2 linked regions of the Drosophila melanogaster genome follow. The protein of the gene in region 1 purifies or fractionates together with the protein of each later gene. This does not show direct contact. Each region holds a gene or a part of one and is shown in the gene's direction. Other genes may lie near its edges.

Evidence for each region. The genes of interacting proteins can lie anywhere in the genome.
Region 2: the proteins of cnn (region 1) and gammaTub23C purify together in Drosophila melanogaster (affinity purification with western blotting, with the first as the bait; 3 studies listed by BioGRID). This does not show direct contact.

The regions. Positions count from the first base shown.
Region 1 is NT_033778.4:13,447,463-13,452,384, reverse strand, and holds the start of cnn (centrosomin), read left to right. Parts: upstream 1-1,909; 5' UTR 1,910-2,026; coding exon 2,027-2,211; intron 2,212-2,984; exon of another isoform or gene 2,985-3,388; intron 3,389-4,922. Other genes in the region: Golgin97 (golgin 97), read right to left, coding at 1-63, 359-457, 510-1,295, 1,387-1,560. UniProt on the Drosophila melanogaster protein: Core component of the centrosome throughout spermatogenesis. May participate in mitotic spindle assembly and the mechanics of morphogenesis through an interaction with microtubules, either directly or indirectly. Is a target of several homeotic genes.
Region 2 is NT_033779.5:2,971,365-2,975,411, forward strand, and holds gammaTub23C (gamma-Tubulin at 23C), read left to right. Parts: upstream 1-1,526; 5' UTR 1,527-1,694; coding exon 1,695-1,743; intron 1,744-1,801; coding exon 1,802-2,004; intron 2,005-2,064; coding exon 2,065-3,240; 3' UTR 3,241-3,494; downstream 3,495-4,047. Other genes in the region: Rrp1 (recombination repair protein 1), read right to left, coding at 1-933; CG9641 (uncharacterized protein), read right to left, coding at 3,814-4,047. UniProt on the Drosophila melanogaster protein: Tubulin is the major constituent of microtubules. The gamma chain is found at microtubule organizing centers (MTOC) such as the spindle poles or the centrosome, suggesting that it is involved in the minus-end nucleation of microtubule assembly.

The DNA.
Region 1 (4,922 bases):
GAACCTGTCATCCGCTGCCGTGAGACGAGTCTTGAGATCTTTTACCTCTGTTTCCAAATTTTGCTGAGAACATTCGGTTTATTGGTTTACAAAATCTCCATCAATCAGTTTTGGATATTGAGGGTAAACATATATATGCGTGCATTATTGAAGGAAAAAGTTTACCAAAAAGTTTGCCAACGATTAAATCAGTTTAATACGAAAAGGAAAACATTTACAATCAAAAACTACATAATAGGTGTGGTTGGAAAATTCCAAGTAAACCAGGAGCTTAATTGGTAGAGTTAGTACTGCATTGTTGGTTAAATTAGTGTTACAAGTCCCAATGGAAATCGTCAGAATCGGGAGGCATACTCACAGATTTATTGCGCTCAAAGAGGACTTGCTGCTCGTTCTCCTCTCGGCACTCTTTCAGGGCCACACTAAGTTCATCGATTTCCTCCTCCAGCAGCTTGACCTGCAATTAAAGTGCATAAGTATTGGCACATAGGTATTACTATCTAACCTACCTTATCGTCCCGCTGCTTTATTTCATCTTTGGCTTTTTCGAGTTCGAATGATACCTGCTTGCGGCTTTCAATGGCATCGTCGCGGGATTTAAGGGCCTTTCGCTTTTCGGTGGTCTCTTCGGCCACTTGCTTGGATAGACGACTAACTTGGGTTTCCAGCGCCAGATTCTGGCCACTCCACGAGCCTTTGATGTCCGACAACTGCAGATGGGCCTCCTCTAAGTGCTGTTCCAGCAGTTTATGTTCCCGGATAAGGGCTTGCACTTGTTGCTCGGAGTTCAGTTTGCCCAGAGACTCGAGTCGCGACTCCTCGACGATTTTCATGCGCTTTTTGAGGTGCCGGTTCTCCTCCTGTACAGCCGCCAGTGTTGTGGTCAGCAGATTCTTCTCCTGCTGTGTAGAATGTCGCAGTTGCTCTAGTTCGTCGCGTAAATCTTCGGCCACGGATTCAATGGGACGCAGACGTTCTAGTTCCTCGCTCAAGGACTCGATTTGCTGGGTCTGCTGGCGCATGAGACCCATGCGATCCACCGACTCCTGCTCCCGAAAGCTAAGCAGATTCTTCAGCTTGTCAATCTCGATTTGCTGTAGATTCTGAATCTTCTCCTGCTCCTCGCAGTATATGTCCTTCTGCGTCTGGGCCACACGCACACTCTCTAGCAGAATCTCGTTGGTCTTGTCCACGCGCGTCTTCTCCTCCTGCAGCTGCTGCAATCCCTGCGTGACGGTGGACAGCTTCGTGGTGAGCTCGTTGCACTGACTTCGCAGCTCGCACAATTGCTCCGACTGCGAAAAGAGTGAAGGTGTTTGTTTATCCGTGTTTTTGTTTAATGTGTAAGTATACACAAATAGACTGTTTTTTTTTCGCTCAGTTTACCTCATTGTAGAATCCGCCACCGCCCACATCATCAGCTGAGTTGGAATTAATGCTAACGCGGCGACTACGTAGCCGGTAATTGTTGTTGTTGTTGCCGGGATAACGTTGATTGGCTGATTGGACCACATCATCGCCAGTTTCCTCCTTGATCTTGTTTTTCAGTGTAGCAAACATTGTTAGGTTTTTCGAGGGGGGAGCTTTTTCTCTGTTGCGCTGCTCTATTTTCTGTATGTGTACTGCCCCCGACTGAAGTTGGCCTGCTTGTGGCTGGGGCTGACGAAAACGTGCCCACAGAGCGTTTATAGCATGGCGTTATATCTGGTGGCCGTAGTGTTCTACTTGCTTATCAGGCGAATGCTAATTTTCGTAAACCGTCGATGTTGTTTACCATCGATAAGAATCGACTTTGCAGTAACGTAAATCGACGAACAGCGTTGCCATACCGCTGTGTTAACTTTTTCCCGTTGTACGGCAGTGCTGCCAGTGCGCATGGCAGCATTTCGATAACTGACGCCAGAAACAGCTGTTCCAGCGCGCTTCATTTTCCAAACAGAAAAAAAGTGTAATTGTTAGCGTCCTTTGTGAAATTGTCAAGTGTTAGAATTATTGTGTGCGAAAGTTAACTATTTGAGGACCTCCCATGGACCAGTCTAAACAGGTTTTGCGGGACTATTGCGGCGACGGCAATGGTACCTGTGCATCGTCCTTGAAGGAAATCACCTTAATTGAGACCGTGACCAGTTTCCTGGAGGAGAATGGCGCCGCCGAAATCGACAGAAGGGTCCTGCGCAAACTAGCCGAGGCACTGTCCAAAAGCATAGACGAGTAAGTCCAAAACACTAGCATAAACAATAGCTTACCAATAAGACTTGTGTGGCAAATCCATCGAAATCCCTGGCAACTGCGAGTGCGCAGCAGATGATCGCCATGTGACATGGTGATCGTGCCCACTGTGATCGGGAACTAACGCTCTCAGCTGGAGCTCTCCCGCATCCGTACTGCTCGGCCCCATAGGGGGAGGCATACTCACAAGCACAGGCGTACAATGGGCGTATTACCCACCCCAAAAAATTCGAAGAGAGGAACAATAATACATCTGCACTGAAAAAAATTTTAAAGCTAAATTTCCATCAATATTTATTTTAAAATGTTTTTTAAAAACATTAAGTGATTTGGATTAATTTACGATTTTAAATGAAATAAGATTTGTAAGGTACTCTTATAAGATGTACTTTTATTTTTAAGATTGTATGCTTCATCACTTTTTCAAATGCTGAATAGAGTCAAAGTTTAATACATTTTTTTATTATAATCTTTAGATTTACTATTACTATTCTGATTCCTAATGAAAATGAAAATTTAAAAGAAAAAGAATTGGGAACACAAATGTAATCCCTTAAGTATACAACAGATATTTCTGTATTCTATTCGTAGCCAATGAACTGAGTTTGCTGACCGCTTTCTCGCTGTGTACGGCATTGGGAAATGCGTAACATCTGCTGAGCGCATTTTCCTTTTTCCTCGCAGATGAGCCCGAGTTTTCCGCCCGTTTGCTGCTCTGCCTTTGGTCGCTCTGAATCGGTCGCATCGCAGTTTCAGTCAGTTATGTTCTAGCTTTCGGTTTATTTGGACGTGCAGAGAGCGTTTTTCGGTTTATTTTGCTTGCCTCTCGGCTATCAATCGTGCCATATGTACATACATACATATCTATATACTCACTTACCCATATATACATACATATATGTAAATAGAAACAATCAGCGGGTCAAGCGTTGTGCGGGTGTGTGAGTGATTGATTGTACATACATATCTGTACATAAGTGCAATTGTTTATATTGCACTGCGAGATACAAAAAGTGATAGATTGATTTGTAATTTATTGCATTCGTTGCTGTGGATAAGCGATTAGTGGGATGCTGGTGGTTCTCGGATGAAAAACAAAAAACCAAATCGAAATACACAGATATATAAAGTACAAAGTGTGCTCGGATTTACAATAAATGTAATATATACTTAGAAATACTAAAGATATCTGTGCTTGTGCCCCCTGATGCTGCTGCTGCTGCTGTTGTTGTTGTTGTTCGTTTGTCGTTTTTGTCGCCACGATGCTGCGGCTAATTTTAGTCGGAGAAAAAGTATACGAATTAATTTGTTTGTGAAATAGAGCATTCCATGGCTCAATCGACAGCCGCAACAACCTATATCATTATCTGCGTTTTCGCACTTCCTGGAACTCTGAATTTCGTCACAAGTCGTCTTATCAGACTGCAGTTTCGTCGTATGCTCCATGTGTGTGTGTGTGGGTTAGTTAGTTATATACACATGTGCATTCATCAGGGGTCATGGACTCGTGGAATTAACCCCTATGGGGTAAAAACCGAACAGAGCACCTCTTTTGTTGCCCTTCCAAAACTGCAACGCTGACTTCCCTACCCTCGAAAAACAAAGCATCCTGGTTGGTAAAGTACAGTATCGTTTGTATGATATGTAATTTGAGGGATCATAAGTAGAATTTATCATGCAAATGGCTCATTTAGTTTTGTTTTTATCGCATTCATTTAAATTTAAATAAGGAATTAAAAAAAAACACACTTTAGTCATAATTTAATTGAGTAATGTTATATTTTATTTCTTATTCAATTGAAATTTCCTTTCTAATTTTGAACAATAAACATCTTGCATATTTTATGAATGTTTTGATTCGATTTATGAATATGAGTGACATTTGACATCCTGTTCAAAAGCCTTCAAGATTCAGTGCGTCCTTCGTCATATGGTTATTGTCTTAAGATGCTTTCCTCGCATATCACTCGCTATAGTCTCGATCCACTTCTGTTTATTGTTATTGTATTTCTTTGTTGATTAAGGCAGGCGCCTTTGTGTGTCGTTGGCCATAGTTTGACACCCACTCGAGGCGCGCCAGGCAGCCAGGTAGATGAGTCGCGTCTGCGTTCCAGGTGAGGTGAGAATGGGCTGTTAACTGCAGTTTACCTGTCGATGTGAGGGCCCTAAAATGCATTCGCGGCAAAGTTCAGGTGCTAAACGAAGAGACACATGTTCCGGCACGGTTCAAAATGCACACCTGTTGTTCCCAGTGACCAGGTCGCTCAGCTGTCGGCTTAAACCATTGATTTTCATTACCACCATAGTAACCAGCGATAGCCGAATGCCAAAACAAAACAATGAGTGAAAATGTTTGGCAGAATTTTCTTGTCCCGTTCACAAATTGCTGTTTCTAATGCGGTCGCCGTTTTGCTGTTTGCTCAATTCCCAAAATAAATAACGACCAGAGGCGGTGCGTGGTGCAGTGTATGTGGTGGTTAGTATCTTCAACGATGCGGTGGCCCACATGTGCCGTCGTCCAACCCCCCGTCCTGTTGGGGATGCATCCCGTCCGTAGGAGCGCCAGACTCTTTGAAGACTCTTCTTCCGCTCTACGGCTGAATGCTCCTGATTGCTGCTGCGCACGTCGCATCGCCCAGCAGCCCATGACTCATGGCTGCCCGTCCCTTCGAAGACGACATGGCGGATACGTA
Region 2 (4,047 bases), on another chromosome or scaffold:
AGCGCGCTGTTTAGTGGGCTTTGCCTTGGTCTTTGGCTCAAGTTCTACCGCAGTCTCACCATTGGTTGTTTTCTTGGCGCGTTTCTTGGGTGCAGCTGCAGTTTTTGGAGGCGATTCCACTTCTTCTTGTACTGATTGAAAATCTCCTACAGTCTCGGGCGATGGCTCAACCATCTTTCCCTTCTTTGCTCGCTTGCTAGCAGCCTTTGGCGGCACCTCATCCACTTCCGGCTCATCGAGAGCAGCTGCGATCTCAGAATCTGCCAAACGCTTGGTTCCGCGTGCCCGCTTGGCAGCTGTCTCAGCTTTCTGCACCTTCTCTTTGCTTATTGTCCCTGGTTCAGCTTGCTCCTTTAACGTTGGTACTGCTTCCTTTCTTGCCCGTTGTTTCGGCGGCTCTGCTGCTTCCTCGGCCCCTCCATTTGCTTCTGCCGGCAGCTCCTTTCGCTTCCGTCCTTTGGCCTGGGCATTCGTTGGTTTCTCAGCCTTAGCGCGTCCCTTAGGCGGTGAAGACGTCACTTCGTCAGGAGCAGGAGTGGGCTCTTTTTTGGCACGTGGCTTAGTTGCCTTTCCAGCTGGTAGATCGACTTTGGGTTCTGGTTCTGCTTCTGCAGTTGCCTTCTTGGCGCGTCCCTTCGGCTTGGCCACCACCTCCATCTGGCCGTTTTCGTCTGTATCCTTCGGCTGCTTCTTCTTGCCACGCGCGGCTGCAGTGGGCGCCTTTTGTGGCTCGACTTCCTCGGAGTTTTCCGCAGATACAGCCGTCTTGGTGGCTTTCCTCGCGCGCGGCTTTCCTTTTGCCGGCACCTTGAGTTCCTCAGCGGCAGAGTCTGCGTTTTCGTCGACTCCATTCCCATTGGCATTTGGAGTGGGGTCAGTGGGTTCAGATGCCAACGCCTCTGCTTGTTTTTTCACGGCCTTGACACGCGGCATTATGGAGTTCTACTGCTCGGACTGATAGGTTCTCAAAAATGACTTGTATTTACTTCCACAGATTTCCAGCTTTTTCTTTTGCTTGTTTTGCAGAGCCACTGTCGCTTGGTTCAGCACCCGATATCAACAAAAAGAAAACTGCGCGGGCAACGCGATTTTTGCAAGCCGGTCGGCTTGACTTTGGTCTGCTTACAACACTATTTGTGTGCCTTCCTTGGAAAAACACGACTGTGGAGCAAATATTGCACATTGTGACGTCACTAGTAGTACAAATAGTTCGACGTCATTAGTAGTACAAAATGGGTGGAGCTCAATAACCTAATTGAAAAACTTTCTTATAGAAAATTATATTCAAGTTAAGCTTAGTATTGAACTATTAGATTGATATTCATGACATGTTTCGATCTTTCTAACTCATAGTCTTAGATTTCCAACACTTTTTTGCCTTTCCAAAATACAAAGTAGAAAAATGTAATGTTTATTTTTATTTATTTAATTCACAATAAAGGTCTTAAGTAATCATATATATTTTATAACAGAGGGCACACTGCGCCACCTTTCAAATGAGGACGCCATTAAACGCTGCGGTGTTATCAACACTGGACTTTCTTAAAATTACAAAGTACGTCCCCGCTGTGGGATTTTTTAAAAATTTTGTTATAATTCGACGATCTTTTAGTTGTGTTTTATTTTATTTCGACTAATTCGACCTTAAACGCGAAACTTCACTTGACGATTCTGGCCGGAAACAACACACCACAATGCCAAGTGAAATAATTACTTTGCAGCTTGGGCAGTGCGGCAATCAAAGTAGGTTTCTGAAATCAGGACGAGTACCATCTGCATTGCTAAAATCGTTTAAACGCAGTTGGCTTTGAGTTCTGGAAAAGATTGTGCCTGGAGCATGGCATCTCCCCTAGCGGCGTGCTGGAGGACTTTGCCAATGATGGCTTGGACCGCAAGGATGTGTTCTTCTACCAGGCGGACGACGACCACTACATACCCCGCGCGGTGCTCTTGGACTTGGAACCGAGGGTGATCAATACCATAATGGGCTCGGTCTACTCCAAGGTGAGTCCTCTCTAAATAACTTTTAATTTTTTGCGCCAAACCTACTATTAACTCCCGTAGCTCTACAATCCGGAAAATGTGTACCTATCCAAGCACGGAGGCGGTGCGGGCAACAACTGGGCCTCAGGCTATAGCCAGGGCGAAAAGCTGCAAGAAGAGGTATTCGACATCATTGACCGTGAGGCAGATGGAAGCGATTCGTTGGAGGGCTTTATACTTTGCCATTCGATTGCTGGCGGAACGGGATCGGGAATGGGCTCCTTTATCATGGAGCGCCTGGCGGACCGCTATCCCAAGAAACTTATCCAAACATTCAGTGTGTTTCCCAATCAGGACGAGATCAGTGATGTAGTGGTGCAGCCATACAACTCCATGCTCACCCTGAAACGTTTGACTACGGCTGCGGACAGTGTGGTTGTCCTGGACAACACTGCTCTTAATCGTATTGCCTGCGATCGCTTGCACATTCAGAATCCCAGCTTTTCGCAGATCAACAACCTGGTCTCCACCATAATGAGCGTCAGCACCACTACGCTGAGGTATCCATCCTACATGAACAACAATCTCATTGGGCTGACGGCTCCTTTAATCCCGACGCCCCAGCTGCATTTTCTCATGACAGGCTACACGCCGCTGACTAGCGATTCGGATATCCATACCCAGCAGCTGGTTAATGTGCGAAAGACTACTGTTCTAGATGTAATGCGGCGTCTGTTGCAGCCCAAGAACATGATGGTGTCCACTGGTCCCGACAAGTCAAATCATCACTGCTACATCTCCATTCTAAACATTATCCAGGGCGAGGTGGATCCCACTCAAGTGCACAAGTCACTGCAGCGCATCCGCGACCGCAAGATGGCCCAGTTCATTCCCTGGGGCCCCACCTCTATCCAGGTAGCCCTTTCCCGCTCATCGCCCTACGTGCAGAGCAACCATCGAGTGTCCGGACTGATGCTGGCCAACCACACCAGCATTTGCTCGCTTTTCGAGCGAGCTCTCAACCAGTATGACAAGCTTCGCAAGCGCGGCGCCTTTCTTGACCAGTTTCGACGCGAGGACATCTTCAAGGACGACCTCAATGAGCTGGACGAATCTCGCGAAACTGTTGACTGCCTGGTGCAAGAGTATGAGGCAGCCACGCGTGAGGACTACATGCAGTTTTCAGTGAAGCGGGGAAATGGGCCAGTTGACTCCAAGTCGGAGGATAGTCGATCTGTGACCAGCGCCGGTTCCTAGTTCGCTTGTGCCAGAAGAAATGCGTGCCATGCATCTTAACCAATGTATTTTAAAATGTAATATTCTCCAATGACGATGGGATTCGAAATCCTTAAGTAGTAGTGATAAGACGATTGTTGGTATGACTCGCATGTATGTAAACGCTGTTTCGTCTTTTACGATATTTAACGTTCGTATTTCCATTGTTGCAAAATTACACATGAGATTTCCCGATCATGTTTAATATGTGACACATTAAATAAAAAACAGTTTTTAAATGTGGTAGTGAGTGTTTATTGAGAAGTATATTACATATTTCTTTGGTGTATTTTATAATATGAAATCCTTATGGTTAATGTCGACTTGAGGCAGTATGAACTGATATTGCAGTGAGAATTCACTTGTGAAGCTGCACGATACTGCTGTCCTTGTTCCGTTGTCATGTCATTTCGTATGTCAAATATGTTTAGGGTGTGTTATTCAGTTTAAAATGTTCCTATTGTATTGAAGAAGAAAAGAGTTAGATATATAAAGCACATTTTATAAATCAAGGAAGTTTTTCGTTACCATGAATCCCGTTACCCATCGGCTTGCTTACAAGGAGCATGTGTCTTCATTAACCACCTCAGCGTTGCAATTCTCTTCCTCCTGATGAGGCTCTTCGCACTCCTCGCCCTCCGCTTCAGGAGTGACCTCTACATCATTGCTCTTCTCGCCCGGCTCCTCTTCAATGAACTCCACATCATCGTGTTGCTCTTCAGCTGCCTCTTCCACCTCATCATGATCTTCAGTCATCTCATTCTCATTTTCATCATCATCATCTCCCTT